2 linked regions of the Nothobranchius furzeri genome follow. The protein of the gene in region 1 purifies or fractionates together with the protein of each later gene. This does not show direct contact. Links are inferred from orthologs where the notes say so. Each region holds a gene or a part of one and is shown on either strand. Other genes may lie near its edges.

Region 1 (9,912 bases):
CACGCTGAATTTACGACACCAATTTGTCAGACGTTAATGTTTTTGGATGGATGGAGTATGCCACTCTACACATACAGAGCACTGGAGATGCCGACTCAGGAGTAGGTGACTCATGCATGGTGACACTGTAGCACGTGGCCAACTTTGGCAAACCTTTGGTCCTTTTCCTTCCACAAGGAGCCTTAAATTTGAAGGAAATTTGAAAAGAGAATTTGCCGAAACATGAATTTGAAACACAATTTGAAGTTTTGTACACGTGTGCGTGTATGTTTATTAATGCAGACAAACAGCAGAGTACAAGCCAAAATGTGAAGCCAGAACCAGGAGCGCCGCGGCCCCGTTTCCTTTCTGCTCCAGGACAACACACGCAGTACTTAGACAATACAAATCGTAAGTTCATTGGTTTAAACACATGTGCAGGAGACATTAGCGTTGTTGCTGTTAGCTACTGAAACATGGAAACCAGAATGTCTAAAAACACAGAGCCGGAGCCAGAATGCCGCTCCAGCACATTGGTCGTCTAAAAAAAGGGTTTAAAAGTTTGCTGTGAAAATCGTACAAACCAGGCAGGAGTAACACGTGGGAGTGTGGCTATGTTGGGAGTCCAAGTGTATTATTCAAATAAAGATCTGCTCATGTTACCAATTTGGAGGAAAACAGAAAAAAATGCAGGCAACTGTGAGGACTGAGGGCCAATCAGATCAAGTCTCTAAAAAGACAAAAACAAAGAGCTTATTTAATCGAAGCCCGTCGGCTCTACTTCCACTGTTGCCCAAAAGAATCCTGATAAAACTCCTGGTTGTCAGATTTGTAACCATAGTTACCAGAATGATCGCCACCATGGAGCGGCTGCTGAACAATGGGTTGCGAGCCCCAGTTCTGATTATTGGTCTGGCGCCGTTTGGAATCGGGCTGGTTGTACCCGTCAGCTTTGCGCTTTCCTCCTACATTTCCACCGCGACCACCCCGAGCACCACGTACCCCTCCTCGCCCTCTCGGCTGCATGCCTCCTCGTGCTCTGCGCCCGCCTCGGCCTGGTCCTGGCCCACCGCGCTGGGAGAAGTTGGCCCTGCCCCTGGGCGGCCCCACGCCGCCACGTCCTCTAGCTGGCGAGGCTCCGCCCCGGAGGCCTCGGCTGCCGCTCCGCCCTCTGCCCTGGTAGTCATCGTAGCCATAGTACGGGTCATCGTAGCCGCTGCGATAGTTGTGATAGTCGTAGCTGTAGTAGTCATAGTAGTCCTCGTAACTGTAGTAGTCAGGAGCGTAGGAGTAGCCGCCGCGATTGGCCCCTCGGCCCCGCCCCCTGCTGGAAGGAGATACGTGGGCAGGAGGGGGGAAGTGGTAATAGTCATTAAACCTGGTGGATAGAAAAAAAACACACATCAAAGCTCTGATTCTCCAGGTAAACCACTATTATAAAGCTGTTTGTTTCTTTAGGCTCACTGTGGGTAAATAGTGATGATGTCATCCTGCCACTTAAGGGGAGGGACTTACATCTGTGTCCTAGCGGCTTGTCTCTGGGCTTTACGCTCTTGTCTTTTCAGATCTGGCGGTTTGGCAAAAACAATCTCGATGGGCTCCCCTTCCAGCTCCTTCCCGTTCAGGTCTTGAAGGGCCTGACGAACACAAACCGGGTTTAGGACGCCGTCTGAAGCGGCTGTACGGTGTTGGAGTTCTGCCGTACCTTTGCTGCTCCGTCCCGCTCTGCAAAGTGAATAAAGGCGTAGTCTTTTAGTTTCTTCACTCGCTCTAAATTTCCAAACTGGCTGAAGGTCGTCTCCAGGAGCTCCTCCGTAACGCCGTTGGCGAGATTCCTGACAAATAAGACCTTCACCTGCAACAGGAAGCAGCAGCAGCTCAGCTTCGGGCCGCCTGTCCCGCCGCGCTACTTTAACTGAAATATACGTTATTAGTTCCTGACTTCCCCTCGAGCCTCTTCGGGCTCGGTAAGTCTCGGCTCACCTTGGCCATGACATCTGGGTCGGGGTCCTCGATGGGATCCGCCCACTCGACCGTCACCAGGTTGCCCCAGACCTTGACCTTACCGCTCATTAGTCGGCGGCGGGCCTGAGCAGCGGTTTTGTGGTCTTCGTACTCCAGGAAGCAGAAACCTCGGTTCTTCTTCTTGTCATCGGGTTGATGGTACAGTATGACATCACTGACACCTTCTGCTCAGACAGAAAACAGCGATCACAGAGGGCTTGTGGTCAGATGCGTTTCTACGGCAGCGCCTACCTGTGACTTTAGAGAACTCTTCCACGATCTGCTCCTTGTTTTTGTTCTTGGGGATGGAGCCAACAAACAGCCTGTTGTTGGCAACAGAGATGCAAACGCCGATGTGCTTCCCAGGGCGGATCTCGTAGTTGTTACACTACACAACACAACACAGAGCTTAGAGATGATGAGTTTACCTTCAACACCTGGGCTACTTCTGTTTAACTGACCAGCTTCACAGCCTCCTGGGCTCCTTCTTTAGCACAGAAGGTGATGAAGGCGTAGCCCCTGTTCAGGCTGCTCAGGGGGTCCATCATTAACCTGAGGTCCCAGATAGGCCCCGCCTTCTCAAAGAGAGGAACCAGCTCATCTTCAAACAGGTCACGAGGAATCTTTCCAACAAATATCTGGGGGTGGGAGTCCAACCGTGTCCGTTAGGCTGTCCGTGTTTCATTGGTGATAGCATTTACTGGCTGTGTGTTTGACCTTCATAAGCTGAAACATAAATGATTTTTCCCTCTCAGGTTTGATCTTCAGACCCGCAGACATCTCACCTCAGTCCCGATGGTTGGCTGGGGACCGGAGAACACAGACTCGGGTGGAGGTCCTCCGTACTTCCTCTGGCCTGTCGTTACGTCCAGGGTGTAGCTGGTTCTTTCTAGCAGCTCTTTTATCTTTGCCTCGTCTGGTCCTTTGGTGGAAGGTGAGACTTTAGTCCCTTGTTTCTCTCTCTGCCTGTAGGTCTTCATCACCCCACAAAGAAAGGCACTTTTGTTCTGGAAAACAACAATTCCTTTTCAAATGAAAAAAGTCAGTGTGAAAGCCTCCAGGTGAGGATGCTTACCTGTACGTGTGACAGATCACTCTCCTTAAACTGGACCAGCACCTGCAGAGCTCCATCTTCATTAAACTCCTTTAAAGCTTCGAGGGCTCGTTCATCCAGGTCACTGTGAGCCACCAGACCTGTGGCAGGAAATGCAGTAACTATTATTAGATGCACTTAATGATGTTCTGCTCTCACACCAACCAACACCACCATACAGGTAGGAAACACTGTTGTCAGGTAACTGCAGACCGTACCTTCTGCAAACAGCTCATCTAGCTTCTCCGCTACCTTCTGAGCTAAACCAGCTTCCAACAAGGCCGGGAAATGTTCCGTGTGGGCCACTGCTGATGTGTCCGTGGGCTCCTCTGTGTTCCCGTTAACGTGGTCTGTGGCCATGTCTCCAGACATCTGCAGACACAGAGCTCAGTTACCACCGGGGCTCATGGGAGACAGATCTATGTCTTTTAGAAACGCTGAGTAAACATGTACAAATTGTTCTGTAGCCAGTTTTAAACCGTTAGATCTTTAACTAGAAGTGCTCACGGCGCATGTGCACACATGCATCAGCGCAGCTCACCAGCTGTTTCCCTATTTGCTCATTTTTATTTGTACACTATTGCACACAATAACAAGGACTGTCAAGACGGCGTGTTTGTCAGATTAAACTGATAAGATGTTGATTCACTTTCATCGTCTTCCTCCTCCAACCTCCAGCGATCCCAACGGACAATAACAACTGGGGATGTATGCTTACCAAACTTTCTTTAACCGGCTAGCGACGCTCCGTAGCGGTCAATAGCCCCCCCCAAACATTTGCCTCGCTCTATGAATAACACTTTCTCCATCTACTCTTTAATACAATGACTCACGACTTAAGTCCCACACTCGTTATGTTTATGAACAAAAGTAAAGAGAGTGGGATGACAGCTGGATTGTCCGTCAGACTCAGCGGACCATCTGATCTCAGATACGCAGCGCTGCTTGTGATCACGTGCTGATAAGTGCAGTCTGGCCGCGGTTTTAACACCTAGTGTAATTATTTAGTTGAATGCAAGAAAACTTAATTTCTTTATTGTACTGGACAAATAAGGCATCAGGCATAAGGAGCGTCACGGCCGACGGACCTGCTGCTGGTCTCGGCTCGGCGCTCTGATGTGAGGCTTTTTGTGCTCCAAGAATGAAATAACGAAAGAACAAACAATAACCGCTAACTCTAATAACCGCTTGTGTTTCAGCACATTTGTTAGGTCTTGTGATGAGCTCATTTCTTCTTCTGCGGTCGCCCAGTAAACCATTTGACAGTGGCACTCTTGCGTCCTCTAGTGGCACAAAATATATTGCACCAAGCACAGCAGAAGGACTTGAAACAGTTAACTGGAAAAAACTAGTTTACCTGGTCACAACATTAAAGGCAATTAAGCAGTTAACTACGTGCATCCCTAATAATACGATAAGTCTGACGTGTTGTGTAAAAACAGCTGATTTTAGCATATTTGTGGGCCCAACATGTCGCTACCAGACATACAGTGTGAGCACGTAACTCGTGAGACTTGCTCTGCAAGGAAGTCGTACAGTTTGAGCTGAAACTCAACTCTACCAGTTAAAACACCGCCCAGTTAAAGGGCAAATTTTTATTTCCTGTGATGAAATGTAGATCCCTTTGCGTTGGTTGCACCAGCACATGTAACAGTTTGGACTGTTTACCATGATGCTTCTTTCATTTAAATTCAGTCTCGGAAATATTCCTCAGCTTTTAGTATCGCGATATTTTCTACTCTGTATCGCGATACGTATCGTATGAACATGCATCCCTAACTCTGAACACAAAGTTTTTACGACAGAATAAACCCCCTCAATGCTCTTGACTTACTAGTTTGATTATGAATCTTTTCTTATCCAGTCACATCTTATCAGTCTTACTCCACTCCCACTTCCTGTTTGAAAAATGCAACAAATGCTGTTGCCTAGCGCACGCACACACACACGAACACAGGTTCACAACAACATTGTGACATAATGTACCAGCTAACGTCATGGTGTACCTCTTAGCCAATAGCAATGTCAGATTTAAATTCAGCTGCAGTGCAGGGTGTTTACCTGAACACGGTGCGACACTGAGTTTTAGGAATATTATTTACATTTGAAGTATGATACACTAAAGGCCCAAATTATTGACTGCATGCGTCTACAGCCCGATTAGACACTAGTTTATATAATGTATCAGCAAAAGAAGTAGATTTGGGGGTGACTTGCTCTTTAAAGTTGATAACCCTGGTCCAATGGTCTAACCCTTGTCCTCCAGGGCCACCGTTCTGGTGTGTCTGCTCCAGTAATTGGTTTCTTAGGGAAGCGAACTGAACCAGGTGTGTTGGAGCAGGAAAACAACCAAAACATGCTACACGGTGGCCCGGGAAGACCAGCGTTAGATTGCCCTGGCCTAACTGTTGTGTTAGTGGGTAAATCTACCGATAACACCTGTTGTGATCCTAGACTGGTTTAAACACAGCTAACTGATCTGTTTCCGGGTGACTTCAGACAACAGCCGCCGGTATTTGGCGCCATCGAGCTGGACAGCGGACATCGTCTGACCACACTGATCCGGTTAGATCGTTACTAAACTGAAAACCCATCAGCGACAGATCGGAGTCGTTTAAAACAAACAAAAACATGGATAAGTAGCCCCAGAGCAGCGACCCGGTCTAATGGACCATAACTGCTGAAACCAACACTCACCACACCTGAGAGCGCGTGGGGCTCGAGTAATAATAATAATAATAATAATGCACTGAGTTTATATAGCGCTTTTCTAGACACCCAAAGACGCTTTCACACACTCTCACATTCACACACTTGTAGCCACAGCCGCCCTGGGGAGGTCTGACAGAGGCGAGGCTGCCATTTGGCGCCGTCGGCCCCTCTGACCACCACTAACACAGGCAAGTTGGGTGAAGTGTCTTGCCCAAGGACACAACAGCAGGATACCCCTGGCGGGAGCTGGAATCGAACCCATGACCCTCCGATCACGAGGCAATCCGCTCTACCACCTGAGCTACTGCTTCCCCCGTAGTAGGCCTCGGTAGTTACCGCGCCGACACCGGTGAATGGAGAACGTGTACCGTGATGTATTAAACACTGTTGGCTATGAGCCATAAGCTCTCCTTTCCCTGCATTACCCCAATAACGGCATCGATGGACGCGTGTCCGATTCTTTCCTCAAAAGACCGGTTAGCACAGCCGGTCGAGCAGCACGCTGTAGAGGCGCGTGCACGAGCCAAACTCGGGGCTACCATGTTTGTTGCTACCTACCACGCGAAGCTACCTGTGGGTGCACGATGCTGATCCGCCGTGTTGATGATAGTCCAAATTAAGAGAAACGTTAGCGCGGGTAATCTCTTGGTTGACACCCGGGATACAAAATGGCGTCTGTATAACGTCGCGAGCGCTGCTGCTTCATTTTAGCATAAACGGGGCTTCTGAGTGACCTTCGCAGGGGCTCCTCCGGTTTCACCACCGCCCGGTGAGCGATGCTATGGGATTAGATTTGTGCCAATAGGATCAAGAAAAACACTTTGAAGATCAAATATTAAGACATTGCGAGAGAAAAAAATTGTTTCAAAAGAAAAACTTATGATCTGAATCAACTTCTTAAAATGAGTAACAAAGTATGTTTCCTTTTTCTGTTTGCCTCTATGTGTTTTTGTTATCAGTTTCCTTAGTTTCGTTCTCGCTGCACACAGCTTAGCTCTCACTACCAGATTTGCACTTAAACTTTCTGGCTTTCTCTTTTGCAATCCCTGAGTTTTTGGTTGCAATTCTGACACAACCCTTTCGGGTGGGTGGGACTTCTGAGAAGTCCTCTCCTATAGGACAGTGGTTTCTCTTGAGTGACTGTTCAGTGACCCGGAAGTGATGTAGCCTCCAAGACATTCTTTTCCCACCTCGGTCAACAACATGAATTTTGAGCCCCAAACACATTATTTCTGCTGTCTGTGGTGTCTACTGAGGATCTAAAGTGACAATTGATGATATATTTGATCTTTTCTTAGTTAATCTGTAAATTAAGCCACTTTTTAAGTTGGTTTTAACCAGACGTTAGCTCACTAGCTAGCTGCTAAGCAAGCATTGTGCTAGCCTAAGGACAATGGTCTATTGTTCCAGAGAGACGTATTAAAAATTCATCTTAACATATTCATTACTGGTTTCATGGAATTAATTATTGCAGTTTATGTTAATAAGTTTGCTAATTTTTCAGGAACCTGTGGAACATCAGAGACTTTGCAGCTACTGGAGCTAACCTGTGTACTGCTAACTTGCTACAGAGGAAGCAGCAGAAAGCTGAGCTAACAGGCTAGTTTGCAGGTAAATACTCTTTTAGTGGAACTGTAGGATTTTTATGGTATAACTCAGACAGAATCTACATGAGCTATTGTGGGAAGACATTTTAACTACATTTACATACAGATACATGTATTTTTTCTTCCATGTTACTTGGACGGGCTAAACAAGTTCATAGTTCTGCCTGCTCCTTTTTCAGTGAAACGAATGGATTATATGATGTAACTCTGACTGAATAATAATCTAAGTGAGCATGTTTGATAATACATTTCTTACTAGTATACAGATCTGACATTTGTTTGTCAGAACAGGACAAATCAGATTCAACCGCTCAGATTGGTCACTTCAAACAAGGAAAATCTCTGGCTCTCACAGACCTGTAACGTCTTCTTTAAGAAGCTTTTCTGTCCTCCAGTCGTTACTTGTATTAATGGCACCTGTTTGAACTCATTATAAGACACCTGTCCACAGCCTCAAACAGTCACACTCCAAACTCCACTATGGCCAAGACCAAAGAGCTTTCGAAGGACACCAGGAAAAGAATTGTAGACCTGCACCAGGCTGGGAAGAGTGAATCTACAATAGGCAAGCAGCTTGGTGTGAAAAAATCAACTATGGGAGCAATTATCAGAAAATGGAAGACATACAAGACCACTGATAATCTCCCTCGATCTGGGGCTCCACGCAAGCTCTCATCCCGTGGGGTCAAAATGATCATGAGAACGGTGAGCAAGAATCCCAGAACCACACGGGGGGACCTGGTGAATGACCTGCAGAGAGCTGGGACCACAGTAACAAAGGTCACCATCAGTAACACACTACAACGGCAGAGAATCAAATCCTGCAGTGCCAGACGTGTTCCGCTGCTGAAGCCAGTGCATGTCCAGGCCCGTCTGAAGTTTGCCAGAGAGCACATGGATGATACAGTAGAGGATTGGGAGAATGTCATGTGGTCAGATGAAACCAAAGAAGAACTTTTTGGTATAAACTCAACTCGTCGTGTTTGGAGGAAGAAGAATACTGAGTTGCATCCCAAGAACACCATACCTACTGTGAAGCATGGGGGTGGGAACATCATGCTTTGGGGCTGTTTTTCTGCTAAGAGGACAGGACGACTGATCCGTGTTAAGGAAATAATGAATGGGGCCATGTATCGTGAGATTCTGAGCCAAAACCTTCTTCCATCAGTGAGAGCTTTGAAGATGAAACGTGGCTGGGTCTTCCAACACGACAATGATCCCAAACACACTGCCCGGACAACAAAGGAGTGGCATTTGAAAGTCCTGTAGTGGCCTAGCCAGTCTCCAGACCTCAACCCCATAGAAAATCTGTGGAGGGAGTTGAAAGTCTGTGTTGCTCGGCGACAGCCCCAAAACATCACTGCTCTCGAGAAGATCTGCATGGAGGAATGGGCCAAAATACCAGCTACTGTGTGTGCAAACCTGGTAAAGACCTATAGTAATCGTTTGATCTCTGTTATTGCCAACAAAGGTTATGTTACAAAGTATTGAGTTGAATTTTTGTTATTGACCAAATACTTATTTTCCACCCTGATTTACAAATAAAATTTTAAAAAATCCTGCCATGTGAATTCATGGATTTTTTTTCACATTCTGTCTCTCACAGTTGAAGTGTTCCTATGTTGTAAATTACTGACCTCTGTCATCATTTTAAGTGGGAGAACTTGCACAATCGGTGGCTGACTAAATACTTTTTTGCCCCACTGTAATACATATATATATATATATATATATATATATATATATATATATATATATATATATATATATATATATATATATATATATATACATAATGTCTAGATGGATAGTTTATCCAGCTTATTTTGAAATTCAAATAGTTTCTTTTTCTTCAGGGGATAACTTATCTGGACAAATAGATGACAACTGTGTTTTTTTAGAAATCACATTTTCTTCTTCATAATGTTTGCATTTTGCTAGCTCACTACAGTATTTTCTAAAAAAAATTTCCAGCTTTAAACTTTAGAAGTTCCCATTTACTCCCATATACTTTTTCAGCCTGGGCCTCATTCCAAAAAGCTTGTATTAGTTCCTTAACCTTGGCTTTTACTATGCCATGACACAAGATGGAGCTGTTGAGTTTCCAGTATGCACTATGTTGGTGTGTGGTGGAAGAAGGAAGTACAGAAATGTTCATTTGGATGGCCTTGTGGTCAGTCAAATGAGTCGAGAGAATGTCAACCTTGACATATTCATCGAGAATATTTGAAATTAACCAAAAATCTATTCTTGATTGTCTGGTTCTTGTTTATTACCCCAGGTAAAAATTCTGTCATGTGGGTATTTTTTCCTCCAAATATCTATTAGATCAAATCTTTGCATTATTGATTTTAGGTGTATATTAGCATTAGATTGAGGACCTGGTGGCCACCTATCCATGGTGTTGTCCAAAGTGACATTAAAATCATCTCCTATAACTAGATAAGCATGAGGGAATTTAGCCAACCAATAACAAATTGTCTTTTCCATGATTGTAAGCAAATTGTTATTCTCACA
Region 2 (9,434 bases), on another chromosome or scaffold:
ACCCTGTGCGGCTTTCAGCAGCTCCACAGCCTTCTCGTGTTGCTCCGCCTCAACGCTCTGCATGGTCACAAGCACACAGCTAGTGAACAACACGATCACTCATGAATCTGAACCACATGCTGCCCACACGGCCTCTAAAACATCAGGAAACTGGGAGGCATGCTGTTTTTTATCTGAACCTTCTAGGGAGCAGAACCTCCTCACAAGGAACCGGAGCTTCTTACCACTCCGTTGACAGACAGCAGCTGGTCTCCTCTCTTCAGCCCTCCTTGGCGATCGGCTACTCCTCCAGGAATAACTCTGGAGATGTAGATCGGGGAGTTCTGCTCTTTCCCCCCCATGATGTTAAAGCCCAGCCCCTCTTCAGTCTTGGGGAGCTCCACCACCCTGGGGTGGGCGTGACCCTCGCTGGCTGCAAAGGCTGCCACGGTGGCCTGAAACAACAAGAACCTCCAATGATCAGCAAAGTGCCAGAACCGGATCGATGGTTGCAGAACATCTTAGTTCTCGCAGCATTCTGATGGAGGTTCTCACACTTCAGTTCAGTTTATTTATGTAGCGCCAAACCGGGACAAGAGGCACTTCACAAGGTAAAGCTGCTTCTGAGCAGGAAGAGCTCCTGTCGGAAACTGGAGGTGTCATCACACTAGAGCCGACTGCATCTGGACTCGGGTCCAGGACTTAGGTTCTAGTACCTTGGCTGTTGCTTGTGCTCGCACCTCTGGTCCTCCAACTATGTCTAGAGTGTCGTACAGCTGCTCGTACACCTGGAGGTCAACAGAACAGACAACAGGTGTCACATCAGGTCTAAGCTGTGTTTACAGGATTCAGTCTGAAGGTTTGTGATTAAACACAACGATTCATGGAGGAAGCACAGGAACGGCTGAGAAACCTCAGATCCTTCAAGACCTGTGACCGCCCTCCTGGTGGACGTGTCCAGTCAGCCGTCATGACCCACTCTGAGTTCATCAGCTGAGTAGGGTGTGTCACCTGGAGTTTCTATAGTTTCACAATATTCTAACTTTCTGACAGAATTAGTCTTTTCCTCATCTGTAGCCAGAACCAAAAGCATCCCACTCCGAGTGATGCATCTACGAATCAAACGGGTCCCACTCACCTCATGATGTTCTAACGTTGGAGCTGTGCCTGTAGATGGAACAGCTTGATTTGACGGAAATCGGACAACAAAAGGCTGTAACACACTTCCTGTAACCAGTGGTGTGTCCAGATCTTTTAAAATGGGGTGGCCCAGGTGAGGCGCATGGGTGGCACCAATGGTTATGCTTTTTTTGTTTTACCCCCAAGCCTTTTGTGGACAATGAAAAGCCTATTTAAAGAAATTAGTGTGTTGGCACCTGGGGTGGCCAATCAGATTCCAAGGGTGGCATGTGCCACCCCAGGCCACTCCCTGGACACGCCCCTGCCTGTAACGTACCTCCCTGATGGCGGCGCAGAATTTGCTCTGGAGGACTCTCTGCAGGGCTTGCAGCTTGGGAGGGGGCAGCTCCCCGGTCCGCTGCAGCCGGTCCAGCAGCTCGATCACCCGGCACACATCTAAAAGACAAACCTGGGTTACACCGGGCTTCACCCGTAGCCCCCACCCATTACTCCTGCTGGGTCCGGAGTGATGTAGCCGTCCACCTTCTTCAGATATTCTGGTTCTGTAGACGGTTAGCCATCACCCAATGGTCAGTCTGGATCTGAAAGAGCATGACCAGCACCATCCATCACCAACCAACAGAACCACATGGACACACAGCTTTCTGCTGAGCAGGGCTACGCCTTGATGCTGGCTCGGTCCATGGCTGTGCCTCTGGACCAGAACCACAGCAGTCAGATCTGTGCTCTGGATCTCTGCAGGGAGAGCTGAGTGCTCCAGAACCATAGAGGGACTGGATATACTTCATAGAAACCCAAAGTCGACAAGGACCCGGTTCAGCTGAACGTCTCAATCCCTTTGGAACCCACAGCTAGGTTCTGCTGAACTAAACTCATATGTAGGTTTGGTTCTGTTGGGTTTTTAGACTACCAAACTGAGTCGGTGACCCAGGGCTGGTCTGGCTGACCCTAAACCAGTCCTGGTCCTGAGAGGCCAACATCCGGTCAGCTCCAACACTGATGATCAGAACCAACCCAGAAGGTCAGTTGTGCGGCGGTCAGAACCTGAGTTTCAAATTAAAAGCCTCATGAAAATATGGCTTTAGGAAAGGGTCACGTGACATAAATGTAACATTTTTACTACTGAGCTAATATTTACCCACTCACACCTGAGACGTCTCGGTTCGGAACAAGCTAGTTGGTACCGGTCCGGATCATAATGGTCCATCTTTGCAGGTGGCTATATAGAGCCGGTCCGGTTCCGACAGGCTACCGGAACCGCTCAGACATTAAACATGCAGCTGAAAACGGAACCTGGACAGGCCCAACCCGTCTGTGCTAGGCTCCCGAGTCCGAACAGAACCGCGTGAAGCAGGAAGCTCCAGAGCGGCTCACATTTGACATCAGTACATGTTTAGTCTCTGGATCCGGGATGCAAACCCGACCCAGTTCTGCTGCAGACCCGAAACCTACCTCTTTCCAGGCAGAGCGGTTCGGTCGTAGCCGACATGTCGGCTTCCTTAGGGTGGTAGGAGGACATCATCCTGAGGTCCTTGTCTGATGGTCACGGCAGGTTCTGGTCCAGGAGTCTCACAGCTGCTCTGATGAGGGCATGATGAGACCGGGCTGGTTCCGAGAGGCTGAGAGAAGCGCAGCAGCAGCAGCCCCCTCCGGGTCAGAGCTGTTCTGGACCGAACCACTGGGGAGGTTCTCATCACAACCTCGTAGGTGAGACAGTCCAGACCGTTCAGCTGGACGGAACCGGTGGGGTAAACCTGAACTCTAAAACTAGAACAGGAAACGTTACGGGCCAGGTCCACGTCAGAACCTGAACCCAAACCCGAGAATAAAATAATCAGCAGCAGATAACTTAATCCGACGTGAGGCTGCAAGTACAGAACCGGGACCAGCAGTCAGCCCCGCAGGACCCACATCTGTAGTTCTGGCGATGAAACCACTTCAGAACCTCTACGGTCTGGGTCAAAATAAAACTAGAACCTCGACTCAGTAGAAACTGAACAGTGGGTTCTCCATCCTGGTTCTGGAGGACCGGTATCCGGCAGGTTTTGGTTCCTCTGCTCAAACACCTGTTCGGCAGCACACGAAGCTCTGTGGATTAAAGGCAGGGAAAGGTCTAAAACATGCTGGAAACCGGGTCTCCAGGACCAGGACTGAGAACGTGTTTTATAAAAATATGAGTCAGAACGTCGTCCTGGTCAGCAGGACGTTCAGAAAACGTTTAGGGATTAAAGTGTGTGTGTGTTGCACCAGCACCTCAGGCAAAAGGCTGTGTACTAAAATAATCACCACTGTCACAATCAAGACATCTTTATTAAAATGACCTGCAGATATAAAAAAAAGATGAAAAACCAAAACAGGCTCAGCTGCTCCACCACAACACGTCTGCTTCTAACACCTCTAAACACACCTGGCTCCGGCTTTAAGCTCCACCCCCGACGAGCAGGGCGATCAGCGGACCTCAACATGGTTGCCATACGAGCGGAAAAAGGAAAGCTAACTAAATGTTTGGATCCTTAGGAGGTTCTGGAGGCCTGGGACAGGAAGTGGAGGGCTTGTTTAGGGGGACTTCCTGTGGGATGGGGACCTCATGCTTAGTACTCATCTGGTGCCTCCATCTTGTATCCGTTTTCGCCAGATCCATAGTCATCAGCTGACGGTGCAGACTGCTGCTCCATCATTCCATCCTGACTGTATTCCTCCATGTTTGGCGGAGCGCTGTCCTCCTCATTACCCATGTCCTCTTGAGGACCCATGTCTTCTCGATTGGACCCGTGGCGCTCCTCCCTCCGCTCCCCCCTGTCTCTGTCCCCACGCTCCCGCTTGTGTTCCCTATCTCTGTCTCGTTCCCTCCGCCGGTCTCTGTCCCTGTGACTGCGCCTCCTGTCTCGGTCTCGGTCTCTGTCCCTGTCCCTCTCTTTGCGCTCCTCTGTGGCCTCAGCCACCTCCCCTTCATTTTCCTCCAACATGCGCTCAGTTCCCTCAGGGGGACCGTCTCCCTGGGCCACTTCCTCCCCGTCCACCCCTTTACCCCTTTCCCTGTCTCTCTTACGGTCCCGGCTCCTGCTTCTCCTTTTCCGGTCTCTGCTTCTCTCCCTACTCCTGCTGTCTCCTCCACCTGCTCCCCCACGTTCCCTCTCCCGTTCACGACGCCGGCTGCTCCCACCGCCCTCCTCCCCTGCACCAACTGGCCTTTCTCTTTCCCTCTCTCTGTCCCGGGAGTGTCTGCGTCTTTCGCGGGAACGGGACCTGCGACGCTCCCTGTCCTTGTCCCGATCACGCTCCCGGCTCCGCTCCCTCCTGTCGATGCGGTCACTGTTCAGAGCAAAAGGTCAGAGGTCATAAAAAACGCATTATAACAGCAGACAGGTGTACTCAAGTGTACTCACCCCCCCAGGGTGCGATCATCATAACGAGACGCATCATCCCGTCCCGAGTGCTTGATGTTCACGTCGGCTCCACCTCTCCTAGTGCCTCCTAAGCCCCCGCCTGGAAAAACAACATAAACATTAGGGGTGGGACTTTTAACGTGTGGATTAGAAAATAAATACACATTAAAAAAATCGATGCATTTAATCACAGCTAAAACTTGAAATAATGCGGAACCTTTGTCTTTGTAGGCCGAATATCACTGATGCAGTGCTCTGCTAATCGCAGTATCTGGAAAACACGTCAGCCTCTTATTTTTCAGAGACCGTCTTTGATCCCAGCTGCTGCTCGGTGGCATTAATCTTGCGCTGAAAGCTAATTTTTGCGAGATTTGGAGTTTTCCAAACTCAGGAGAATCCATCTTGTACCGCTACAGTTCAAACCGTCTGACCTCCGGCCCAAAATAGGCCGATCCAATCATGTGTCAGCACTGTGCTGTAGGGCGGGACTTAGTTTAGATGATAGTACCAACCTGGCTAAGCAAAACGGTTGATGCTAACAGCAATCAAGTCACGACGGCAGCGCGGGCCCACGGCCAAGAATGGTCGCGGTCGGACGTCTTAAATAAGTTAAAACATGACCGAGAATTCCCTAAAATCCCATTCCGCTACATTTCTACATGTATAATTGTTATTTTATAGCTACGTGTAGTTCAACATAAAGCATGTTGTGAATCAGTCTACATCCACTAGGTGACATCATCTACATGTCAAAGAGTAAGGTGACCACCTTACATGCCGGGGACCCGGGTTTGAATCCAGGCAAGGACATACGACGATCCGACTCCGACGGCATACGGAAACGTTTTTAATTCCACTAATTATATGTATTTTCTACAGTAATAAGCCTGAATTTTAATTAGTAAACATCCAAATGAGACGCGCTGAAAGACGTTTATGTCACTTTAGAACCATTTTTCAACCATGTTGGACTGACGCAGTTTCAGTGCTTAGTTAACATTTGCTGGGTCGCTTTAGCAGGTTCGAATAACATAGCTGTGTGACTTAAAACACCTTTTATGCACATGTTGTTCTTGCAAAAGCGGCTGAAATCACCCGAAGACATGGTAATTGCCGTATGAGTGAATGAAGCTTGAGCGAGTTGTGTTACAGGTGGGCATGGTTTGAGTTGTTACTGATTGGCTAGCCAGTGTCAGATGGGCACCACCTTGACGTCCTCCAATCAGCTCAAAATATTTGGCCAGGTAGTAGATTCAAGTCCTCGGTCAGATTTGTGCCTGTTCTAGAGTCTTTAAGGATTTTTATTTATAGACATTTTACTACATAATGACTAATAAATAACAAAACACCAAAGTATACTAACAAGTAAAATCCAACTATTTCAGTAAATCAACAGAGACCATTTAAAGGCTCAGGAACTCTTTGCAGCTGTTCTGCAGTTGTACATTTTAGTTGATTTGGGTCTTGTTTCATATCACACAGTGACATTTGAAGAATTGAAAAGCATTTTTTAAATTAACTCAATCGCTGCCAGCGTTTCTCACCATTCTTACGGTTTATTTAAGAGTCACAGAACGTTGCTCACTCGACGCCAAAACTACCAAAACAAAGCGGAGACTCACCTCTTACATGCGGAAGAATCTGCGTGTTTCGAGCGTTATCTGTTCTTTCATAAACCGTTGTTGATTTGTGATCAGCAGAAGCTTTTCCGGTTCGCGCCTCACTTTTTTTACAGCAGCGGCCTAAAACGATCTCCTAACACATGGATGTTCTGCTTCCTGATCACGTGACGTGTGACGTACGCGGATGAAGATCGGCTTTAGAGCTGAGATGTTTGTTCTCTCTGCGCGGGGGCTCGTCCGACGCCCACACAGTAATGTAATTGTCATTGGCAGTGAATGAGTTAAGAGCTTTAGTTTACAGTAACAATATCCACGTTGAATGTTTCATTCTTTGTCTCATTTTTAATGAAAAAAATTGCTTTCAGGGTATTTTTTCCTGATACGATTAATTAAGATGAATTAGATTTTTTTAATCGAGTCCCACCCCTAATGAAAACACACCAAAGGAGCTCCTTTAATGCAATCTTTATGCAGATGACATCCAACTGTACATCTCCTTTAACCTTTTGGGTGCCAGAGATATTTCAAGACAATATTTAATTTTAACACAACTATTTGAAAAGGTTGTAGCTTGGAAACGGTTAGAGACAAAATTAACTGAGAAAAATCTTCAGTAGAACCGAAACAGTCATATTTTGACCTCACCAGGCTGCCGTAATGGAAATGCATCATTTTTGAATTTATCACATTTAAATTTTTTTATTTATATATCCATATATAAAGCTCCTTTGAAGTTTCAATTAGATAGTTTAGCTTTTATATTGTATTATCTGACATTTACATTGGCCTCACTCAAGAGGAATGCTTTTCAGCCATATTTGTCAGGTTTCTTTGGGCTTGTACAGCTCCAGGGATGAGTGTAATGATCATTTGACCCAAGGGAAGGAACATTTTTTATAGTTATGTGGCACAGTTTGACTTCCATATGTAACACATCTGCTGCTTTTTTTCCCCATTGCAGCGACATCTGTCACATTAGCGGTGTTTTACCATCATTTCTACATCCACCATGTTCCAAACACGGTGAAACAAACGTCAAACCTAACGCTTGGAGCTTGTAAGCTCCATACACCATACTCTCGTGCAGCACCAGCTGTCTGTTGCTGCAGTAGCGTCATCTTTCCGGCTGGATGAGTGAATTTCTTCATCAGAGACAATATTCTGCTTTATAATCGGAGTCAGTCATGACCAGACCTGCCTGCAATTTAAGTTTTATCCCTCTAATATTCGCCCTCTCCGTGCTGCGCTCGTCTCCACCCGTCCTCTCCTCGACTGGGAACCTCTCGCAGTTTTCAAACCCTAAAAACTCAGAAACTGTTAATATAAACGCACCCATAAGTGTTGTTCAGCCTGAAGTTACACATCTCCACTATCTTCTGGTGTAAAGTAGTGACTTCATGAGGGATGGTAGCTGTGGCTTGTTAAAGTCAGCAACAACGCTTTTCGCAGTATTGTGACTGTGGCGCTTAAAGGGTTGAGCCCCATGAGATGTCAAAGCTGCAGCTGTTACACACCTGCTTAGTATCATAACCTGGATGGTGGGAGCTTTCTTCAGCTGAATGAAGATAAGACTGAGATCCTCATCTGTGCCCCAGACAAGCTGGTCCCCAAAGTCAGAGACTCTCTTGGTCAGCTTGCTTCTCACACCAAACCCTCTGTCAGGAATCTTGGTGTGACCTTTGACCCAGCTCTCACCCTGGATTCTCATGTTAGTTCTCTTGTTCGCTCTTCCTTCTTCCATCTCAGGAACGTTGCTAAGCTGAGTCCCATTCTGTCTCGCTCTGAACTTGAGACAGTTCTCCACACCTTCATCTCCTCACGCTTAGACTACTGTAACTCTCTTTTCACGTGTCTGAGCAGAACCTCCCTGAACCGTCTACAGGTGGTCCAGAATGCCTGTGCTCGGCTTCTGACCAAGTCCTCCAAACACACCCACATCACCCCGCTTCTCCTCCAGCTTCACTGGCTGCCAGTCAACTTCAGGGTTCATTTCAAGATCCTGGTTCTGGTCTATAGGGCCTTACATGGACAAGCACCATCATACATTGGTGATCTTCTTAGTCCCTACACCCCCAGCAGGTCCCTGAGGTCCAGTGATCAAAGCCTACTGGTTGTGCAGCACCAGGCTAAAGACCAAAGGTGACAGATCATCTGCTGCTGTGGCCCCCAGACTCTGGAACTCTCCCGCTGAGCCTGAGATCAGTGGACTCAGTGGTCTCCTTTAAACTCACCTGTTCAGGCTTTAGTGTGACCTTCATCACCCTCTCCTTGTTCTGCTCTCCCCACCTATTCCACCTTCCTCAGGATCCACTGATTTCCCTCTTTCCTGTTCACTCTCTCTCTTTCTGTACATTTTTAATCACAATTGTCTATTTTTTGCTCATTTTAATTAATATTTTTTGCAGTTTGAAATTTTTGTTTTGGTGAAGTGCCTCGTGATTTTTATCTTGTTTTGTTGTCTAAATTTTATTTTTTGTGTTGCTTCAGAAAAGATGGACACTAACCCTAACCTGGCTCTCTGTGCAACAGAGGACACGTCTACATTTAAAAGGGACAAACTGACCCAGCCTGCGAGGACGCCATCCTTTGACAGTACGTCCCCGTTCCACGTCCACCAACACCCGTCTGCCATCAATCTTCTTTCCGTCCGCGTGCTTGTAGGCGGCTGCAAGAGAGGGGAAAGAGGGAAGGCGGAGTTAAGATGGGAGTTCCAACAGCACCAGTTTGGGCAAGGGAGAAAAAAATAGAAATGAAAACAGGAAACGGTGCTTTAATATACTGACCAGGAGCAGGTGAAGCCGAGATGGCTGCTCCCTGGGTAAAAGCCGAAGGATTACGGAAGAGGACCTCCTTCCACCCGATGAGTGACTGATACGTTACACTCTGACCGTCATTAAGCCCTGAGGCCCGGCTCATTTAGATCCCACGGTTCTAACGTAGCCAGCAACATCACATCTGTGTGTGTGTGGTGTGTGTGTGTGTGTGTGGTGTGTGTGTGTGTATGCAGTGATCCCTCGCTACTTCGCAGTTCGTTTTATCATGGATTCACGACCGCGGATTTTTTCTTTGGAGCCTTATTGAAGGGAAATTCGCCGATTCGCGGTATTTTTCTATGCGAAATATCAAGAAATTCCTGTTTTTTTTCATCGATTTTATCATAAAATGCACTTTTTGTAATAAAACTATAAAAAAAAAACAAGTAAAAATACAGTACTATGTAAATGGAGGGTTTTAAAAGTCTGAATACTGAATACGAACCTGTTAAATAAATACTGTAAATATGGTGTCCCTACTTCGCGGATTTTCA

The links.
Region 2: the proteins of heterogeneous nuclear ribonucleoprotein Q-like (region 1) and snrnp70 purify together in Homo sapiens (affinity purification with mass spectrometry; 3 studies listed by BioGRID and IntAct, counting the BioPlex papers as one, with this or other methods). This does not show direct contact. The link is inferred for Nothobranchius furzeri from reciprocal best matches to the Homo sapiens genes SYNCRIP and SNRNP70.

The regions. Positions count from the first base shown.
Region 1 is NC_091742.1:17,028,250-17,038,161, forward strand, and holds heterogeneous nuclear ribonucleoprotein Q-like, read right to left. Parts: upstream 6,500-9,912; 5' UTR 6,360-6,499; exon of another isoform or gene 6,347-6,359; intron 3,449-6,346; coding exon 3,295-3,448; intron 3,178-3,294; coding exon 3,059-3,177; intron 2,991-3,058; coding exon 2,769-2,990; intron 2,622-2,768; coding exon 2,445-2,621; intron 2,372-2,444; coding exon 2,236-2,371; intron 2,169-2,235; coding exon 1,963-2,168; intron 1,835-1,962; coding exon 1,685-1,834; intron 1,617-1,684; coding exon 1,495-1,616; intron 1,358-1,494; coding exon 757-1,357; 3' UTR 710-756; coding exon of another isoform or gene 702-709; 3' UTR 524-701; downstream 1-523. UniProt on the Homo sapiens protein: Heterogenous nuclear ribonucleoprotein (hnRNP) implicated in mRNA processing mechanisms. Component of the CRD-mediated complex that promotes MYC mRNA stability.
Region 2 is NC_091758.1:13,878,748-13,888,181, reverse strand, and holds the end of snrnp70 (U1 small nuclear ribonucleoprotein 70 kDa), read right to left. Parts: intron 8,793-9,434; coding exon 8,691-8,792; intron 4,606-8,690; coding exon 4,506-4,605; intron 4,432-4,505; coding exon 3,711-4,431; 3' UTR 3,411-3,710; downstream 1-3,410. Other genes in the region: lin7b (protein lin-7 homolog B), read right to left, coding at 1-57, 225-434, 696-767, 1,436-1,554, 2,572-2,641. UniProt on the Homo sapiens protein: Component of the spliceosomal U1 snRNP, which is essential for recognition of the pre-mRNA 5' splice-site and the subsequent assembly of the spliceosome. SNRNP70 binds to the loop I region of U1-snRNA.